Linked DNA regions of Oryzias latipes. Each later gene encodes a partner of the first gene's protein in a complex. Links are inferred from orthologs where the notes say so. Each region holds a gene or a part of one and is shown in the gene's direction. Other genes may lie near its edges.

The links. Proteins that work in one complex are often made in the same cells at the same time.
Region 2: piga (region 1) and pigp share a complex: the UniProt entries of both Homo sapiens proteins name them as parts of the glycosylphosphatidylinositol-N-acetylglucosaminyltransferase (GPI-GnT) complex. The link is inferred for Oryzias latipes from reciprocal best matches to the Homo sapiens genes PIGA and PIGP.
Region 3: piga (region 1) and dpm2 share a complex: the UniProt entries of both Homo sapiens proteins name them as parts of the glycosylphosphatidylinositol-N-acetylglucosaminyltransferase (GPI-GnT) complex. The link is inferred for Oryzias latipes from reciprocal best matches to the Homo sapiens genes PIGA and DPM2.

Annotation. Positions count from the first base shown.
Region 1 is NC_019879.2:3,734,623-3,740,889, forward strand, and holds the start of piga (phosphatidylinositol N-acetylglucosaminyltransferase subunit A), read left to right. Parts: upstream 1-2,494; 5' UTR 2,495-2,632; intron 2,633-5,333; 5' UTR 5,334-5,353; coding exon 5,354-5,776; intron 5,777-5,868; coding exon 5,869-6,139; intron 6,140-6,267. UniProt on the Homo sapiens protein: Catalytic subunit of the glycosylphosphatidylinositol-N-acetylglucosaminyltransferase (GPI-GnT) complex that catalyzes the transfer of N-acetylglucosamine from UDP-N-acetylglucosamine to phosphatidylinositol and participates in the first step of GPI biosynthesis.
Region 2 is NC_019877.2:8,246,460-8,252,756, reverse strand, and holds pigp (phosphatidylinositol N-acetylglucosaminyltransferase subunit P), read left to right. Parts: upstream 1-2,311; 5' UTR 2,312-2,567; intron 2,568-2,646; 5' UTR 2,647-2,649; coding exon 2,650-2,731; intron 2,732-3,727; coding exon 3,728-3,800; intron 3,801-3,913; coding exon 3,914-4,032; intron 4,033-4,349; coding exon 4,350-4,465; 3' UTR 4,466-4,947; downstream 4,948-6,297. Other genes in the region: rexo4 (RNA exonuclease 4), read right to left, coding at 978-1,124, 1,197-1,516, 1,630-1,845; putative nuclease HARBI1, read left to right, coding at 5,242-5,929. UniProt on the Homo sapiens protein: Part of the glycosylphosphatidylinositol-N-acetylglucosaminyltransferase (GPI-GnT) complex that catalyzes the transfer of N-acetylglucosamine from UDP-N-acetylglucosamine to phosphatidylinositol and participates in the first step of GPI biosynthesis.
Region 3 is NC_019870.2:30,338,360-30,344,718, forward strand, and holds dpm2 (dolichol phosphate-mannose biosynthesis regulatory protein), read left to right. Parts: upstream 1-2,388; 5' UTR 2,389-2,576; coding exon 2,577-2,675; intron 2,676-4,088; coding exon 4,089-4,178; intron 4,179-4,254; coding exon 4,255-4,357; intron 4,358-4,452; coding exon 4,453-4,508; 3' UTR 4,509-4,673; downstream 4,674-6,359. Other genes in the region: proteasome subunit beta type-7, read right to left, coding at 6,073-6,184, 6,298-6,359. UniProt on the Homo sapiens protein: Regulates the biosynthesis of dolichol phosphate-mannose. Regulatory subunit of the dolichol-phosphate mannose (DPM) synthase complex; essential for the ER localization and stable expression of DPM1.

The DNA of each region.
Region 1 (6,267 bases):
GAATTGAAATTGAATTGAATTGAATTCTGGAGGTCAGCAGAAGGGAAGAGATTTGCTTGAAATAAGAAGATCTCTTACATGATCAGATGAGTCAAGTTGAGCCACCCGCTTGGCTGAATGATTGGATTTAAAAGTAAAGATAAAACTGTTTCCAAAAAAATGAGGAAAAGCTAGAAAAAGCTGTGGAGCAAATGGAACACAGTGAACCTTCACAGCTTTCAGCAGTGAAAGTTAACTGCAGCATATTTACAGTCATGGGTTAGGGTCACTATCACCAACCCTTAACGACAAGTTTTCGCAAAGCAATGCAAGTTTTAAACATAGTCGTAGGGAGAAGATGTAATATTTGCCTTCTTGACTGAACCAAAGAGCTGGTTTCACAAGAAAAAGCATTTTACTCCTCAAGACTGGGATCTGATACGGAGAAAAAGTACATCATTGGAAGGGGGCAGTTTCAGAAACTCAATTTCAACAAGTTCAAACTTATCCTGGTGAATCAACTATCATTTCATAGTCAGATACAGAATTGCTGATTGGCTCAGCTCCAAAAAAACATGTAGTCTTATTTTAGTACAAGAGAAAGTAAATAAAAATCAGGACATTTCCCTTCAAACTTTAAAACATCGCCTTATTTAAAAGACAGTAATAGTTTCTGTCGTCATCATAGAAACCGCATTTTTGCTGTGAATCATAAAATACGCCAAACTAACCAAAGAGTATTATAAATATATATAGGGCCAAACACAAAACCTTGTTGTGCACCGTGACTGAAGGCTCATAAAGACGAATCGTAAAGTTGACTCATAACAGCGTGTTTTATATCAACAACATGTTTTAGTGTCTGTTGTCTATCCGACGGCATTTCCGAATGTCTCAAGGCGAAGCCTTCTGTTTCAAAAGGAAAGCTTGAACAAACTTAGACAGATGTTAAAATATTAAACCAATAAATGGTAAAAAAAAGGTGCAGCAGAGTTTAGGTCAAAGTCTAAAAATGAGCTTTAATGTGTTCTTTATGAACCTGCTGACATAGAAACCAAGGCAGATAAGCAAATCTACGTAAAAAAAAAAAAAAAAACTACAAAAGAGCAAGTTAATGATTCATACTTTGTTTTCTGGGTTTTGTCAAATGTTTAGTAATAGCCTCAAACTCTTGACTGTAGATGAGAACTGGATTGAGTGACTCCTCCCACATCACCTTCCAAACAGGAAGTACTTGCTGGCTCTGAGAAGTTTTGTCAAATGCTGACAATGTTGAATACAAGACATGTAAATTTTTCGAAAAAGTTGTTTATGTTGGGATACATTTGTTGTGTTCTTTTATTTCCTGTATAGTTTTGTATCATTTAAAATGATAATAAATTGTAATAACCATTGTTTTTCAACACTTTCCATTACTTGTCGGTTGAAGAGAATGCTGGTTAATGAACCATCCTGTAAAAAGCATCATGTTAAACTTTTCAGAAGCTGATTTGCAACATAAAAAAAACGAATGGGAATTCAGATTGGGGACACGATGAGCTTCATCCAATGTGGGTCCTTTAGGACAGACCCTTCACACTACGCTGCCTAACTATGTGGTCACAAGGAGGCCCGAGTCTGGATCTGCCAGTGCCAGTCCTCCCCCAGGATAAAATGCAGGGTTGAGTCAGGAGGGGGCATCCGGCGAAAACCAAATCTAATGTGTGGATCACTGAAAACTGACTTGCTGTGGAGACCCTTGAGGGGAAGTGTCTTTATCTGGTTAAATAAAGGTTATCTAACAAAAATAATTAAAAACAAAATTAGCTGCATTGCATTATTTTAATTCATTTTGGTGTCTTGTGTGTATAATCTATACATCTGTAACTCTGATGAAAATCATGTTGATGTTTCTTTTAACCTGTTCTTGTGGCATTACATCACATGATGGAGGACAAGTATGAAGAAAATTATGCCTAAAATGGAATTTATGAGTATTTCTTTATTCAAATTGTTGTGAATCAAGAGCAGACAAAAAAATGCAGTTGGAAAAAGTTTTTACATTGAAAGTATTTACATTAATACGTTTTATAAAAGAATGGCTTAATGGTCTAAAAAAAGAGTTTTGAAGTTGCTTTGGTCGATAAGAAACAGGCTTCAATGGCTCTTTTAGTGTTAAAGGTCAGATATCTGTATTATATTGAAGAAGCTCTGATTTTTTTTGCTTTGTTGGTGTTTGGTTAAAAAAACACACATGATTTTCCTTATTATTATTATTATTATTATTATTATTATTTTAATCAAAACTTCTAATGGATGTAATCGAAAAAAATAAGCCTAGCTAAATTTGTGATTATTTTATTTTACCATTATGTTGTTCTGCGTTTGTTTCTTCTGACTGTAATTTCTGATTTTTTTTTTTTAATTACTTGTATGTTCAGCCATGTTCTGTTATGTTCAATCGTTTAATGAAAAAAAGCACTGAAGATGCTTCTGACACCCACGTGATCAACGGGGAACGCAGTTGACGTACTCACTACGTCTGACGTAGCAGGAAGTAGCACAGGCGGCTAAACGGTTAGCATAAAGAACTGGAGGGAAAAGAATCGACCACTGAGCGTGTTTTACTTTTTATTTTTTCAAAGCTGGAACAAAGCCGACATTTCTGCACACGGTAAGCCAAACGTAGGCTGTCAGGAGCGAAAATAGTCATTCAAATGACGTAATGAAAATAGTTCTTCATGTAAAAGAAGTAACTAAGCTGTTATTGGATTGGCTATTGGAACAGTTTACAGGTAGCTAGTTTCCCCCCAGTTCGGCTATACTGACGTTTTATTTTACAATGTCTGGAATATTGGACTTGAAAATTATTAACTTAAACAGAGACTGCTGTATCAGCACTGATGAGTAAACATTTTTATTATTTAGGTGTTTAAGGAAAATATTGATGCCACATTATTGATTTGTATTTATTGTTTTATTTATTTTTTTAATTTGTGTGGGGGTTTTGGAGAAGGAATATATTTTCTTCTCCCTTTACAGTTGACATTATCCCAATCAAATCAAATCAACCTTTATTTATTATAGCACTTTTACAACAACACATGTCAGTCAAGGTGCTGTGCATAAAATACAACAATAAAATGTAAAAACAAGATGACAAGACAAACAGTGCCGACAACCCCCAGTACACACACACATACGCACACATGACAAAAAGAGTGATAAAATGATGGAATATAGAGTTGCCTGATATTTCTTTCGTTATGTGAATGTAAAAATTTAAATATAGTTTTTTTTTATTATTTACGTTTGATTAAGCTTATTTAATGGTTATTAGGAGAAGTGGTCAATGACACAAGCATCGTTATATTAATGACTTGAACAGGTAGTGGTGGGGGATAAAGGTGTAACTTCATGAAAAGTGTCCAAAGTTCTCGTCTGACGGGCTTCTTCTGTGAGCCGACATCACATAAATGACACCAGAGGCTGTTCTGGATGCTAGAATGATATGAATGCTGGACTTGAAGGAGAATGTGGTTTATAGTCTGTTGTTGGTTGGAGCGGATCCATTACAGCTAGCTTATTTGAAAGAATGCAAAACAGCCCACTGATTATTCATCAAGTCTCTGTGGCTGGGACCATTGTCATCTGAGCTGCTAGTCACTGTTTTGTTTAATCTTAAATACTGTCAGACCTAAATTAAAAGTTGTAGTTTAGACTATAAACAAGGTTGTACGAATCTGTTTTCTCTTGTTCACTTAACAGACCCACTTTGATGAAATCGTATTTTTGGTGTTACCTTGTTCTCATGGTGGAAGACACGTATAAAGAAAGTTGAATTCAAAATGGCATATTTGACTGTTTCTTTATTCAACTTGTTGTGAATCAGGAACAGACGGAAAATGCAGTTCAAACAATGGCGTATTTGTTGCATCGAAAACGTGCTGGGCGGAGCACAAGCTCCCTGCTCCGCTCCATTCTGATGCATCCACTCGCAGACGAATAGATCCGTGAACGTCTTTGTTTTCCTCGTCCGAGCTGGCATCTGGCTCATAACTGAACAACTGGATAGCTCTGATATTGCTCTCCATTTTTGTCACTCTTCCAATGTTAGGTTGGGGTTGTGAGGGGCTGTAAGCTAGTGGGAGAGTGTGTAAACAGATGGATGATGAGATTAACACAGGCTTACTCCCCACCAATGGTCCCGCCCACAAACTCGAGGTAAATTTCGCATTGCTGTTCTGCAGAAACGGTCCTAGAAAACGACACCGGTTTTTGGCTAACAAAACAATAATAATCATACTTAAAAGATCACTGGGGACACTTCGGTTTGAGATAGATCGGTTTGAATAAAGTACCATCACTCCCTTGTAGAAGGCTAACTTTACTTGCTTTATATGCAAAGGTTTGACATTAATTTTTCCCAATATTTTTCTTTCTTTTAGCATAACATTGGTTTTAATGTAGCCTACATGTTTCCTATTGAGGTACAGAAAAGAAAACATTTATGTTAAAATAATCAGCGAGGAAGTTGGTTCTATTAAAAATTATATTTGCAGAACCCCCCCCATCAAACACAGTAAAACTTTGACTGTTTTGCTGACCCGTACAGCTAATTCATACTGGAAGACAGGAGACAGATTTTAAATCTTAATAGGTTCTTGTTTTCAGTAAGATTAGGGCCTTTGTAACTTTCTTTTCTATCATTAGATTGCTTTCGGATCACACATTGTATTTGACATTTGTATAAATAAACATTATCCTTTTTCCTAAAAAAAGGATGGGGCGGCCGTGGTGCAGTGGTAGGGCGGTCAACCCATGATCCTAAACTTGCAGGTTCAATTCCCACCTTGCACACCCATGAGTCAAAGTGCCCTTGGGCAAGACACTGAACCCCACCTTGGTAGGTGGTAGGCGGGCGCCTGTGTTTGGCAGCAGAGCCTGTGTGAATGTGTGTGTGACTGGGTGAATGGGTCGCTGGCTGTAAAAGCGCTTTGTCCTTGTAGGTAGAAAAGCGCTATACAAGTATACGCCATTTACCATTTTTCATAAATAAATTGAATTAATTTCTGCTCAACTTCTGTTGATATTGCATAAACATTTTGAAAATCAAATATGTGGAGAGTTAGAGGTGCTTAAGCAAAAAGTGTTGCATTCATATTTGGTATAGTTTATTTATTTTTAGATATTAAAAAATAATAACCTGCTAAAACATTCGAATTTGCACACATAACTGACTCTAACTTAGTCGTTTTTTTTTTTTATCCCTTTCTGGTTTACACATTGAAAATCTATAGAGAAAAAAGTAGATTTGTTGGGGTCTGGGGTGAGCTTTTTTAAACAACTATTTGATTATTTTTCTGATGTTTTAGCACCAATCCAGGATTAGACCATGAGTCAGCGAAGGAAAGTAGCCACCTCACCAAAACCAGACAGCAGCGACTCCTCTGGGGTCGGCAGGAAGCACAGCATCTGCATGGTGTCGGACTTTTTCTACCCAAACATGGGCGGAGTTGAAAGTCACATTTATCAGCTGTCGCAGTGTCTGATTGAAAAGGGACACAAGGTGGTGGTCGTCACGCATGCGTACGGCAGGAGGAAGGGCGTCAGGTATCTGACTCACGGACTCAAGGTCTACTACCTGCCCCTGCAAGTCATGTACAACCAGTCCACGGCCACCACCTGCTTCCACAGCCTCCCCCTGCTCCGCTGCGTCTTCGTCAGGGAGCGCATCACTGTGGTTCACGCTCACAGCTCCTTCTCTGCCATGGCCCATGATGCACTTTTCCACGCCAAAACCATGGGCCTGAACACAGTAGGTCCCACCAAGCTGCTTTACCTTCACCACCTTCTGTGTGTGGTTGTACTGACCGACTTCACCCAAAAACAACCTTGTTGTGTTTCTAGGTGTTCACTGACCACTCACTTTTTGGTTTTGCTGACTTGAGCTCCGTGTTGACCAACAAGCTCTTGACGGTGTCTCTGTGCGACACCAACCACATAGTGTGTGTGTCCTACACCAGTAAGGAGAACACCGTTCTGCGGGGAACGCTGCAGCCAGAGATCGTGTCCGTCATTCCCAACGCCGTCGACCCCACAGACTTCACGCCCGACCCGTCTCAGCGACAGAAGGACAGGATAACCATCGTCGTCGTCAGCCGCCTCGTCTACCGAAAAGGTTGGTAAAATGACTTTAAAGGAATGTGTCGAACAATTTTTTTTAATCATTTTTAATAATTTCCATGAAACCTACGGCAGCACAGATTTGACCAAAATTAAGAATAAAGTGTTACATTAGCATCAACA
Region 2 (6,297 bases), on another chromosome or scaffold:
TTCTGCTGCCCGTTTTAAAGTTTCTCCACAGAAATCACCTGAAACATTATTAAATCATTTTCTCTTTTGAGAGAAGTAAGAGAACATCTGATGTTATTGGGGTATAACTGACAACTATACCGATTTTTTCAAAAACTTGTTTAAAAAGGCAACGGCTGTTTTTCCAACTACTTCCACTTAGGGAGTCTGTTGGAGCCAGTCTGCTGCAGGTTGAGATGAGCATAAACTCTGCAACAGCTATGGCTGCATATTCATCAGGAAGCAATTGCGAAACAATCCGACGATTTTAAGACTCATACTTATGCCCAAAGAGAGCAACACACACGGGAAGTATCCCACTAGATTAAAGAGTTGCTAGGAATGGACTTTTTCAACACTTTTACACATCCGACCAAGAAAACAATGATGAAGAAGAGCAGCAGATGAGATTAAAACAATATACTATAATAATGATTGTTGAGCAAAAATTATCAAAAAATATCAGGACAAAAAGAAGGACTCCAAATTTGAAATATCTGGTTCTCTGTCAGCTTTAGGATCGATTTTAAGGTACTTTTCTTAGTTTAATGAAATTGCACTTTAATTTTAATCAAGCTGGTGTTAGCAGACGACCCTCCCAGAGCCCTCAGATCCAGTTATGCTGGTGCTCCCTGAGGTCATAAACAAAAACCCACAGCGAGGCCACATGGCAGAACTTTGGCCTAAACTCACCTTTTTAGTTTAGCTTTTATGTCGATTTTACATTTCCTCATGTTTTAATTTGATTTTATGGATTATTTTTTCCTGCTAGTTTTTGTACACAACATGTGTTTATTATAAATACTAATATAATTATTATTTATTTATGTAAAAGACTTTGAGGTGTTTTTTAACAGGAAAAGAGCTCTATAAAGAAAGGTGAATTTCAACTAGAGTTGATCGATAGCAAATGAAGGTGTGGCATTTTGACCGTAAGAACACAAAACAGTTTCTCTTACCCATCAAAGGCGTTCTCTTTTACCAGAACGCTATCTACGTTCTTGCTTGTTTTCATGCCTTGTTTCCTCCTCATGATCTCTGCAGCCTCGGCTCCCATCGTTTCCTCAATATCGTCAGGGTCGACGTCATCAAACCAAAGGTCCTCCCTACAGCAGCACAAGCAAAGATTACAAGGCAAACCCGAACTGAAGTCAAGTATTAGCAATAAGGATACATACTCTGTGGGTTTCCTCTCTTCAGTGACGGGCTTCTTTTTCTTGGCTGGTTTCTCATTGTCTGTCTTTTCGTTTTGCCTTTTCCTTGCACCACCAGGTTGCAGTTTGTCTAAGGCGGCGTGGATCTTTGCCTTCACCCCATCCTCCTTTGGGGCATCGCCACTTTTGACTTTTCCCTCTCTGTCTGTGTGCACCTGGCTGGGAGCAGGGCTCTTATTTTGAAACTTTTTAGGCTCATTTCCTTTAAACTTCTTAGGGAAGACACCATTCCGATGTTTTGGTGTAACAGGCTGCTTCTTCTCTGGCTGACTGCTCTTTAAGATCTGCCATGTTCAGGAAACAAAGAAGATAATTACATTTTAAAAGTAAATACATTTTCACATAAGTAGTTGCACAGCTTATGAAGAGCATAGAGTTTAATATTCGTCAGACAAACCTCTTGTAATGCTTTCCAGTTGGAAGAAAACTGTTGGGGATCCTGTGGTGGTGCAGTTTGCTTTGCTCCAGGATTTTCTAGATTTTTCTTGTTTAGAGTCTTTTGGGAAGTTTGTTTTTTACGATTATGCTTTATAAAAAACTTCTTCCTTTTTTCTTTGGACGTCAGCTGTTGCGTTTTTCCAGCAGGAGTTTCCTTTCCTTTGATTTTAGACATCGTGGTCGCACTTCTTTAAACTTCAGGGAGTATTTGCTGTGTTACACAGCCACGTTTTTGAAAGAAGCCAATTTTAGGTGAGATGTAAACGAAAACAGTTAACGCTGTGTCACATACATATGTATCCCAGATAAAGGGCACACACTGTTTCTATTAGCAAAAATAGCCACTTTATTATCCTCCCAAACAGGGAAAAATTATGTTTCAAGTTGTTTACCTTCACATTCACGAAGCCATGCTGCGGTGCTTCTGGAATGAGTAACAGTCAAATATGTTCGTCAGGAAAAAAGTAACATGATTCGTTCGAGCGGCAGAAAGTTCTCCCTTCGTTGATTTTTTTATTTCTTTCTTTTTTCAAGCTTGAAAATAGTTTTTAATATCTATACATTACTAACAAAGAACACAAGATTGATATGTAATTTTGCTTTATTTCTTTAAAGTCTTTTGTTCCTGATGTACAGTTTCTGACCGAACTCATTTAGGTGATGGACTAACGTTTTGTTGACAGCAGTCAGCTAGGTTTTGGCGTAATATGATTAGATGCACTTTTTACATTTTTATTTATGTTTCGTTTGAAATAGTAGAATTGGATTTTATCTATCGTTGAACCTAGCTGATGGTACGATATAAACAAGCTATTTGAGAAACATTTAAACTGTTTTTAGGGGTTTTTGTAAACTTGCTGCTCTTCTTACGAACCAAAATACACTTATTATCTGTCGGTAAGTTTAGTGACTTTTTGTCATTGTTTATTTTCGATTATTTTACCCAATAGATGGTCTGTTTGTGTTCTGGTTTCAGATCATGGTTGAAAACTCCCCATCACCTATGCCAGAGAGAGCAATCTATGGGTTTGTTCTCTTCCTTGGCTCCCAGTTTGGCTTCTGTAAGTTAAGTCCCATCACATCATGTTCTTTCAAATTAGAAGCATAGTTCTATTTGCAGAAGATGTCATTCAACGTAAAATGTTGTGGAATTACTTATCTCTACGGCTCTTGGTAATATAGCAAAGACATTCTGTTCCTTTTGTTTATGTTGCCATAAATCTAATCTCATTGAAATTTGTAAATGTGCAGGACGACTCACTTGAGTTAAAATAGAATAACCGTTTCTCGGTGGAGATTTAAATCTCCTTACTACTAGGGTGATAAATAGTTGACCACCTGAAAAACAGACTGCCATTAATTCAATGTGACTTCACTTAAAAAAAACAAGCCTTTTTGGATTTTTTTCTCAATAGAATTCTTTCAATAATTAGTTTTTTTTAAGTTATTTATATCTCAAGGTATACATTAGTAAAAGGTTATTGTGTTTATATATATTTTTAAAAATTCAGCTGAAAGATGGCAGGATGGTAGTGACTTAAATATTGTAAATTACTTTAAAACGCTAGTTGTGTGTTGTTGTTGTTTTGGGTAAAAAGTAGGATTTTTTTAATAGGCCTGTTATGTTCATATTTAGGCTTAAAACTACACAATTTAATAAGTCGGCAAAATTGTATTAAGCCAAATGAAGAAGTCTTGTTTAACTTTTAAATTGGATTGTCTTTTTCTCATTTAAAAGAAAATTCTTCTAATAATCCCAATAATTCTAAAAAGATTTCAATTTGGAATATCACATAACTCTGTTGCTTATAAATGAATATTTACACTTTCCTCAAAGGTTGTCTTTTTTATTGGTTGGATGGTCTTTCTGTATGAAAAAGCATCAGATTTAAAAATAAATTGAAATGAAAGGACATATGTTTATACATAAATGTAAGATAATGTAACAGAACAGAAGTAAAAATAGTTCGTGAACAATTTGAAAAAAAAGTCTATCCTAAAAGAGTATCAAAGAATTCTCTTAATAAAATATGTTTGTTCTGTTTCTTTTCCCAAAGTTCTGTACTGCTTGTGGGCATACATACCAGAGGAATGGCTTCATTCTATAGGGCTCACTTATTGGCCTCAAAAGTAAGTAGCAACAATATGACAAGTTAGAATTTATGTTTTATGTCTTTTTACAATGAGATTACCCTAGGCTTGTTAGCCTTTGTTTGAATCTTAAAGTGAAATGTTTGATGCAGGTATTGGGCTCTCGCAGTGCCAATATATATGCTGGTGGCAATACTGGTGTTTGTTGTGGTGTTATTTGGGGTCAACATGAGCAACACAGCCCCACTGGACTCTGTGGACAACATCACAGGTGAGTTTATGGCTGCAGGCTAACAGTCAGCGTAAATCACAGAAAAGCTGTTTGAAGTGAAATTATATTGAATTTTAAAAAAAGGAAGTAAAATCACTGCTAGGAGTAATACAACCGAACTAGCTTTAACATGCGCTAATTGCAGCTGCATTTTTCTAAAAAAGGAACTGTACCTCACATAATAAAAGCATATACTTTTAAAATAAATGAATACAAATAAGGGTGAGTAATTTATGTCAAAAAGGTCGGATATTATGTCAAAATTAAGAAAACACCACCAAGAAAACAGCTTTAAGTGTCTTCTTTGTGTCTTTTAGATATTTATGCACTAAAGCAGAGTGAAGAATGCCTGCAGAAGGGGGGAATACCTCGAATAAAGGATGTCTCCATCAGTGATGTCAACAAAATGTTTTATTTATCACCCAAAACATAACAGTCTGCTGCTGGGTGTTTTGTGGTTTCTCTGTTCATTTATTAATAATCTGGGGGAACCTTTCTGATGGTGTAATATGCCAAATCTGTTCGCTTTTGCAAATTTGTATGCAAAGTTAACAGGTCTGGTTAGTGGGTTTGTATGTAACTTTTGCACTGTGACTTTGCTATTTACCTTTTAAATTTTTTTTCTTAATTGATCAAGATGTTTCCATCATACCAATAAGAAAATATCACTTAAATATGTTCATTTACAGTATGTTTCAGTGCATTAAAGATGAGGTATTTTTCCACAAGATAAACTCAACTTTTGTTATTTTAGACAAAATAGATAAAGTTTCAAAGCTGAACCAAGTTGTGTTTATAGTTTCTGGCTAAACATAAAATAATATATATACTGTATATCTTGTTGTTTCATTGTTGCCTTTGTATTTTTGTACAATTCAAAGATGACAAAAGTGCATAAAAGATATTTTAAAAAAAGATTGGGGGTCCTATTTCCCTCCTTTTCTGTTTACACTTCATTTTATTACAAATAAGGAGATTTTTTGGTGTTTCATTTTGAAAATTGTCCTGTGTGTCATTTATTGTTATTGGCACAAAGATCTTTAAATGTACAGCAGGGGGCAGTAGTGAGTTTGGTGCTGCGTTTTGTTAACTTTATTGATAGACGAAGAAAAGCAATAACAGGGTGCTGCTCCTCTTCCAAGTATTCCACATTTTTGTTGTTTAGTTTTGTGCTTATTGTCTTCAAATACACGTTCCAAACAAACAAAAATGACGTTTGCTGTTCCGGTGTGGCTGGCGGTGCACGAGCTTCTCCTGGAAGAAGAAGCGGCGGAGAAGGAGAACTCGACCTGTTTTGACGAATTCAACGACGCCGCTTTGTTCGAATACTTCCACCTCACGCGGCCCTGCATCGCTTTCATCGTCGACGCCGTTCGAATCCGCATGAAAACGGTCTCCTGCAAGAAACCCTCGCCTCCGGTGGACGCGTTCGTCATGGTGGCTCTTAACTACTTCGCGCATGGCGCGTTCAGCCCGCTCGTGGTGCAGAAAGTGGGCTCGTGCCTGCACGCCAGCCTCACGAGCGTCGCCAGCTCAGCATCGGGGGTCATCGCGGGGATGTCGGACGTGTTCATCTCTTTCCCTCTCACCGCGGAAGCCAGGATTCAAAACGCCGCCGTCATTAAAGAGTTCTGCAAAATCCCCAACGTCCTGGGAGCCATGGCTCCTGCCCAGTTTAAGATCAGGGCTTCTCCGTATGAGAAGGAGTTCTTTAAGTCCTTCATCAACGCGCAGGGCTTCACGTCGGTGGTGAGCCAGTTCATATGCGATTCCCAGGGCAACATCCTGAGTGTGGAGAAATGCTGCGTAGGGAGCACTTCGGAGCAGGAACTCTGGGAGTCCTCATTCAAAGGCAGGGAGGTGGAGGAGGATCTGCACGGACCGTACTGGTTAATCGGTAAGACAATATGAGGAAGCACTTCTTTAAAGTCTGAATCACAGCTGATGCCCCCTAAAGAGATTCCAGCAAATATACACATCCCAAAACAAACTGTTTATTGAACTCTCTCTCTAATAATACCTCAATTATGCACCAAGTGCTCCTCTAAAGAATAAAAATGTCTAAAAGGAAAATCTTTAAAAAAGCAATAGTTTGTATTCAAACAGTGGAAAGATGGAGCTCAGTAACAGGATGTAAACCGTTGGATCGTTTGACCTTCAAAAACCTCAGCGATGTCCACATGAAGGATGGATCCTCTCCCAGGACGAACAGGCGACGCACCTGAACTAACTCTACAGCTTCATGTTTGAATAGTCCAGTGGATG
Region 3 (6,359 bases), on another chromosome or scaffold:
TTATCTGGTCCTGCGGCTTTACTGGTGTCGATCCTCCTCAGAGTGGAGCTCACCTGATGTAGCTGCAGGACGAGAGGCTGGGACTGCTCCTCCAGCTGTAATAGAGGACCAGAGTCCCTGCTGCTGCCGGGCGTCTCGAAGCGTGCAAAGAAGGTGTTTAGAGTGTCAGGCAGGGTGGGGTCATGAGTGGTCTGCTGCATGCTGCTCCTGTGGTCTGTGATGGTTCTGATGCCTCTCCACATCTCCCGCGGGTTGTTATTAGCAAAGTGCTGTTCCACCTGTTGTCTGTGTCTGCGTTTGGCCTGGTTGATGCCCCTCCTCAGCTCTGTCCGGGCTCTGCTGTAGGCCAGCCTGTCACCTGACCTGTAGGCTGCATCCCGAGCTTTGAGCAAAGACCGCACTGTTCCATCAAACCATGGTTTCTGGTTTGGGTAGACTTTGATGGACTTTGTGGGCAGAACAGCATCGGTGCAGAACAGCACATAGCTCAGGACGGATGTTGTGTAGGCCTCCAGGTCTGAGCCATCTTTAAACACCTCCCAGTCAGTGAGTTCAAAACAGTCCTGTAGTGCAGAAGAAGCCTCTTCGGTCCATACCTGAACTGTTTTGATGGTTGGTTTGGTCCTGCAGATCAGAGGTCTGTATGTGGGGGTTAGCTCCACAGAGATGTGATCCGACATGCCCAGGTGAGGAGCTGCTGCAGCCTTGTATGCACCTGGGATGTTGCAGTAGACTTGATCCAGTGTGTTGTTGTCTCTGGTGGGAAAGTGAATAAACTTCTGAAATTTGATGGATGGATGGATATATGGATGGATGGGTGGCAGTGGCTCAGGCAGATGAGCAGGTCGTCCAATGATCGAAGGGTCGTTGGTTCGATCCCCTCTCCCCCCAGCCAACTGTCGTGTCTTTGGGGAAGACGCTTCACCCTCCCTGCCTCCACTGGTGCATGAATGTGCATGAATGTCCTGGTGATGGTCAGAGGGGCCGTAGGCGCCAACTGTCAGCCACGCCTCTGTCCGTCTGCCCCAGGGCAGCTGAGGCTACATCAGTAGTTACCATCACCAAGTATGAATGAATGATGGACTCACTGTTAACGCTTTGAGCGTCTGGAAAAGCAGATCAATCCATTATTATTTAGTCTTAAGTATTTAAATAAAAAGTAGGGTAACATTGACGTAGAGCAACTGTCAACTGTCAACTGGCTATGTTTTGACTATCTTATTCAGATTCATTTCTCCACGCAGGTCAGTTCTTGCTTTACCAAACTGACTTGGATGGTTCATTTTTCAGACGAGTGAATTCTGCTGGCAGGATCAACCCGGTAGCCCCAGGAGTTGGCAGTAGGGCGGGCCAACCCAGGCCAGGCCTCAACTAGGGCAACAGTTCTGGATTGTGTTTCTATAGTTTTTTTACTCTAATTAAATAATGAGTGATGAGCAAATACTTAGTGGTCAAATGTCTTTACCGTCAGATCTGTAGTTTGTTCTTAATGAATGATCTTTTTCAGCAGCAAAGAGCATTTATCACTGCAGGAACATGAATGCATCAGTGTCTGCAACATTTGCTCTTGTTTGCACACCAACTAGCTGGTCTAAACATTGGGACTGCATTGTAAATTAAAAACATGTATTTTAAAATCTTTGAACTCAAAAGCAACTTTTCTGAACTGTATCGCTGAACTATGTATTTATTTAGCGGAATGTCGACACTTAAGCTCTCTGAAAATGTATTTGTTTATTTTTTTAAACAAATCTTTGTTCTTGATGATCTACTTTCTGACCTGGATTAAAAAAAAAGGTTCATCATGTACGGATTTCTGTTTCTTAGAGATTTGTTATGAAAGTATTGGATAGTTTTTATTTCATTATTTTGAATGTGGATGAGCGGGTTCTACTGGTAGGAGTGTTTACCAGTAACTACCATTTCTTTAGTTTAATCAAAAAAGTGATGACTCATATCACTGCAGAAGCGTTGTCCGGTCCATGACTCCTGGATGGTCCGGTCCATAAGTCCAGGGAATAATGTAGCTTTGCCTGAGGATGACCACCATGACTAAAGCCGATCTCTTGGAGCCAGATTGTCGTGTTGAAGTGGGTTAGTGCAGAAAATGGATTTATGGAATATGAACGTTCCTGTGAGACTCCAGCATGAATCTCAACACAAATCCTAAAGTCATAAAAAATATTCCTTTCCAAATGGCCAGGATGTCGAAACGCCAACTGTTTGCTGCTTCAGGAATCCCACAAGACAGAAAATGTAAAAAACAACAAAATCAGGCGGGACGTTTTTCTATTTGTCATGTTACTCCAGACCAGCAGGGGGCGGTCACGGGACTTTCTCCTGCAGCTGCAGCCGGACATAAACCAACCGGAAAAACGGAGGTCACGTGGTTCTACCGCCTGTCAACAATGGTGAGCGGCGTTTAAGTAATTTATTTTATAGGAAATCCCTTTACAAACATGATTTTACGGGGATAAACAGTCGCAGTGGTTTGACCTTTACAGGCCGCCGTCATGAAGAATTGTGCCTAAAAGCAGGTTGAAGTTTCGCGTTGAGCTCTTGACGCTTAAGGCTTAATGACGATCCGCGGGTCCCTAACCGGGTCCCTAACCGGCCTTCAGAAGAACGACAGGAATGTTTTCTCCTCACGGGAATGCGGACAAAACGGACGTTTGGTCTCTGACATTTTTATTCACCGCACATGAAAAAACGCTGAGATTGAAGCCGCAGCTGTAGTCAGTTTGGCCTTTTTCATTGTATTTATTTACTCTGAAGTTAGAAGAACATCCCACAGAAACTTTACCCAATGAGTTCTATCACTAGAGGAGACACACCCGCTTGGGAAGCCTGGCCGACGGTGGCGGAGCGCGACGCCATCTTGGTGAGGTCGTCAGCGCCCACGTGACAATGATTTCTATTGCCTTTAGTGGCATCTAGTAGCTTTTATATATATTTATACCTATATATAAATATATATGTATATCATTTATGTATATGCATCATTTGTTTTTAAATAAGAGAAACAGGCAGCATTAAAAGCTCAAACTTTAATGAAAAATGCAGAGTTGCAGGACTTCTTACAAAAAAAATTATTACAAAGAATTTTTAAAAATAATTTTTAAACATGTAGAAGTTTTAGACCTCTTTGAAACGTAATTTAAATTATTTAGAAAAGCCCAACAATAAGTCAATAGGAAGCCAATAATAATAATGAATAATAACAATATATACATAAGTCAATAATTATAATAATAATAAATAGTAATTCAATAATAATAATAAATTATAAGAATAAATCAATAATAAGTCAACAATAAGTCCAAAAGTCAATAACAGATTTACCCTGAAAAAACAAAGAGAAACAATAGATTAACTGATTCATGTTAGTGATCAGTTTGTGTAACACAGATTCCTTGGTGTCGGGTTTCAGGCTAACATTCTGGCCTCTCATCAAAGTCTGGTTCCACAAATGTTCTGAACATATCCAGACTGTATCACTAGTTGGTACCACAGTGATCCATCTGGGTTAGCTCTTTTTATTGCTAAGATCCACTTTTTCCTGAAGTCTGAATCTATTAGAAACCTGCAAGAAAAGTTCAGTCTGAGTCAGAAATGTATAAATCTATATTATTATAATAGCCTAGTCCTAGTATACTGTATATAGGTTTAACACAATAAAGTTTACATTTATGTCGACAGCAAATTCTCCGTACATCATGCAGCATGTTGATAACAGCCCTGCAGCATCATGCATGTCTACATGTGTTCTATTCATGAAGCCCCTCCAGCATTAAAAGAAAAACATTAAAATACTTACCTGTGAAATGTTCTGCCTTCCTGCTTCGTGGACTAATTTCCTCGATTTTGACAGTTGAAATCCGCACAATGAACTGGGATTTTGAGTTCACATGCTGAACTGCAGCAGTGACTTGACCTCACCAAGATGGCGGTGCTCTCCTCCCATGAAGAATCCCATGACGTCTCCTCTAGCGATAGAACTCATTGACTTTAACTGCTGCGGCACCCGCAGTCTGAGACCCGGTCCAAAGCTGGGTCACTGATGAACTTTTTCTGCTCTTGGTTTTCAGGCCACTGGAGTGGATCAGGCTGTCGGCATGGGTCTGGTTCTGTTCAGCCTGGCTCTGTTTTCGTACTACTCTGTGTGGGTCGTGGTTCTGGTACGTCCTGATGGAGCCTCTTAAATATCTGTAGGACAAAGGTGGACTCTAATACTGTGATTTGCACCAATTGCAGCCGTTCATGGACGGTGACCACATGCTGCAGCAGTACTTCCTTCCTCGTGAGTACTCTGTCATCCTGCCGGGCATTGCAGCAGTGGTTTTGCTCCTCATGATAGGTCAGTATGCCGTCTCATGACCTCATGACCCCGCTGTCTACACGTCTTCATGCCAGACGGACGCGGTGATCCTCTGGTTTTTGTCTTCTCTGCAGGGGCTTTCACAGCAGCTGTTGTGTGGATGAATCACAAGCCAAAGAAAGTGGATTAGTCCCACTTTCCATGGGAAAATGGAACTTTATAAAGTCACATGGATTCATTTTCCTCCTCTGGGAATCTTTTTGACAGAACATGTGCTTGGTGTTGTGGGTATGAGTGCTGGCTGTGAGTGAAGTCTGGGTTTCAAACTGAAAAATAAACCTTTTCACATAGATCACCCCGTCCTACAGATGTTTTAATGGTTGCCAAGCATTCTGCTGACCTCCATGATGCTGGGAGTCACTCGTTTTCAGTATCTACACTGTGTGGAGGCAGCATTTGTACACCAGATGAGTACGGTGGGTGGAGTCTTTAGGTGTTTCAAAAGTCTGAATACTTTTGTCATTTCTCACTAGTTTGGACTTTAACCCTCCTGATGGGCTGGATTCTTGTCTTGCTCCATGTTACCTAACTGTTTTCTCTACATCAATAAAATCACAAATTAAAATAGTAGAAAATCGGTTTCAACCATTGACTGTATAGAGAACTGGACTGATCGAGGGTGAGCCACCCGTAGAAAACACCTAACCCCCAGCTCCAGCTAAAGGAACCCGATTCAGTCGCCGTTTTTCCTCGATACGGTTGCGCCATGTTGGAGCCAGACGACAGTGGTTGGTGCGAGTGGTCGTTTCTATGGCAACTACTGTCGCCAATCAGAAGTAAGCTTGTTTGAAGTCCACACCCCTTCAGCTCAGGACCTGAAAGCAGCTCAGGAAAATCTGTCAAACGTTAGAGGTGGGGGGCAGCAGGCACCACAAGCTCTTACTGAGGGATCTGATTGGTCAGCTGAGATCTTGAATAAAGAAAGCAAATGAGGATTATTAAGAATATATTAACAAAAGGTATCAGATCCAGAACGCTTCTTCTGACCAATAGAATGACTGAGGAACATCTGGTCATTTCTATAGACATGTACGGGATTCTGGTTTCTTGGAACCAGCAGATACTTCCTGTTTGGAACGCCAGGGGGAGGGGCGTGCCCAGTCCAGGTCTCCATACACAGTCACTGGTTAACTCTTGTTCTATCCTAGGCACTTTACCATTGGGAGTTGGGTCATCTAGACCCACTAGACAGAGCTCTGAACCTTTTTTCTTCAATGATTTGTGATCTTCACTGGTGTCCATGGATTACATGAAATCTTTCCACCTTTATCCACCTTTGTCATGGTAGGGGGAACACGTCAATGGAAGGGGGGGTCATCTAAGCACAGGGGTTACGGCCTCACACCCTCATATCTAGAGCCGCCCACCGACACACCCAGAATCCATGAACAAAACCCGTAACTGTAACTTCAACACTTTTCACAGTATTTTTCAACTGTTTTGATTTTATTTGACTTCAGCGAAACAAACATGTTCAAATGTGCGAACAGAAGGATTCATACTGCGGCTCCTACTCTCCTCATGGAACGGATCAAGCATTTCACTTTGCGTGTTCCATTGGTCATGCTAACACAGATCCGTTAGATACTGCTGAGGACGAATGCCGGTAAGAAAAGGAGGTGATCAAATGTGAGCCATGTTCTTGCATGTACGGACGTCGTTGCATATTTGAACATGCCGGATGTAGACATTTTTTATTCAGTGTCCATCATCTGAACAGTTGCGTCGACCACGTCCAGACTGAGAGGAGTTTGGGTTTTGGTCAGGACAGGCGTAGTTCCCGGCTTGTACCTGTACTGTCCCTCTCTGAAAAACACAAGCAAGACACGTTTGCAGACACAGCACTGTTGAGTTTCAAACCCTTCTGCGGTAACCATAGCAACCACTTCTTCAATCATGAGGGCTCTAACTGTACCAACCTTTTCCCCTTCCCTGCTGGCCTGTCGTAACCTCGTAGGTACTCTGCTCCGGCCGCGGTGAT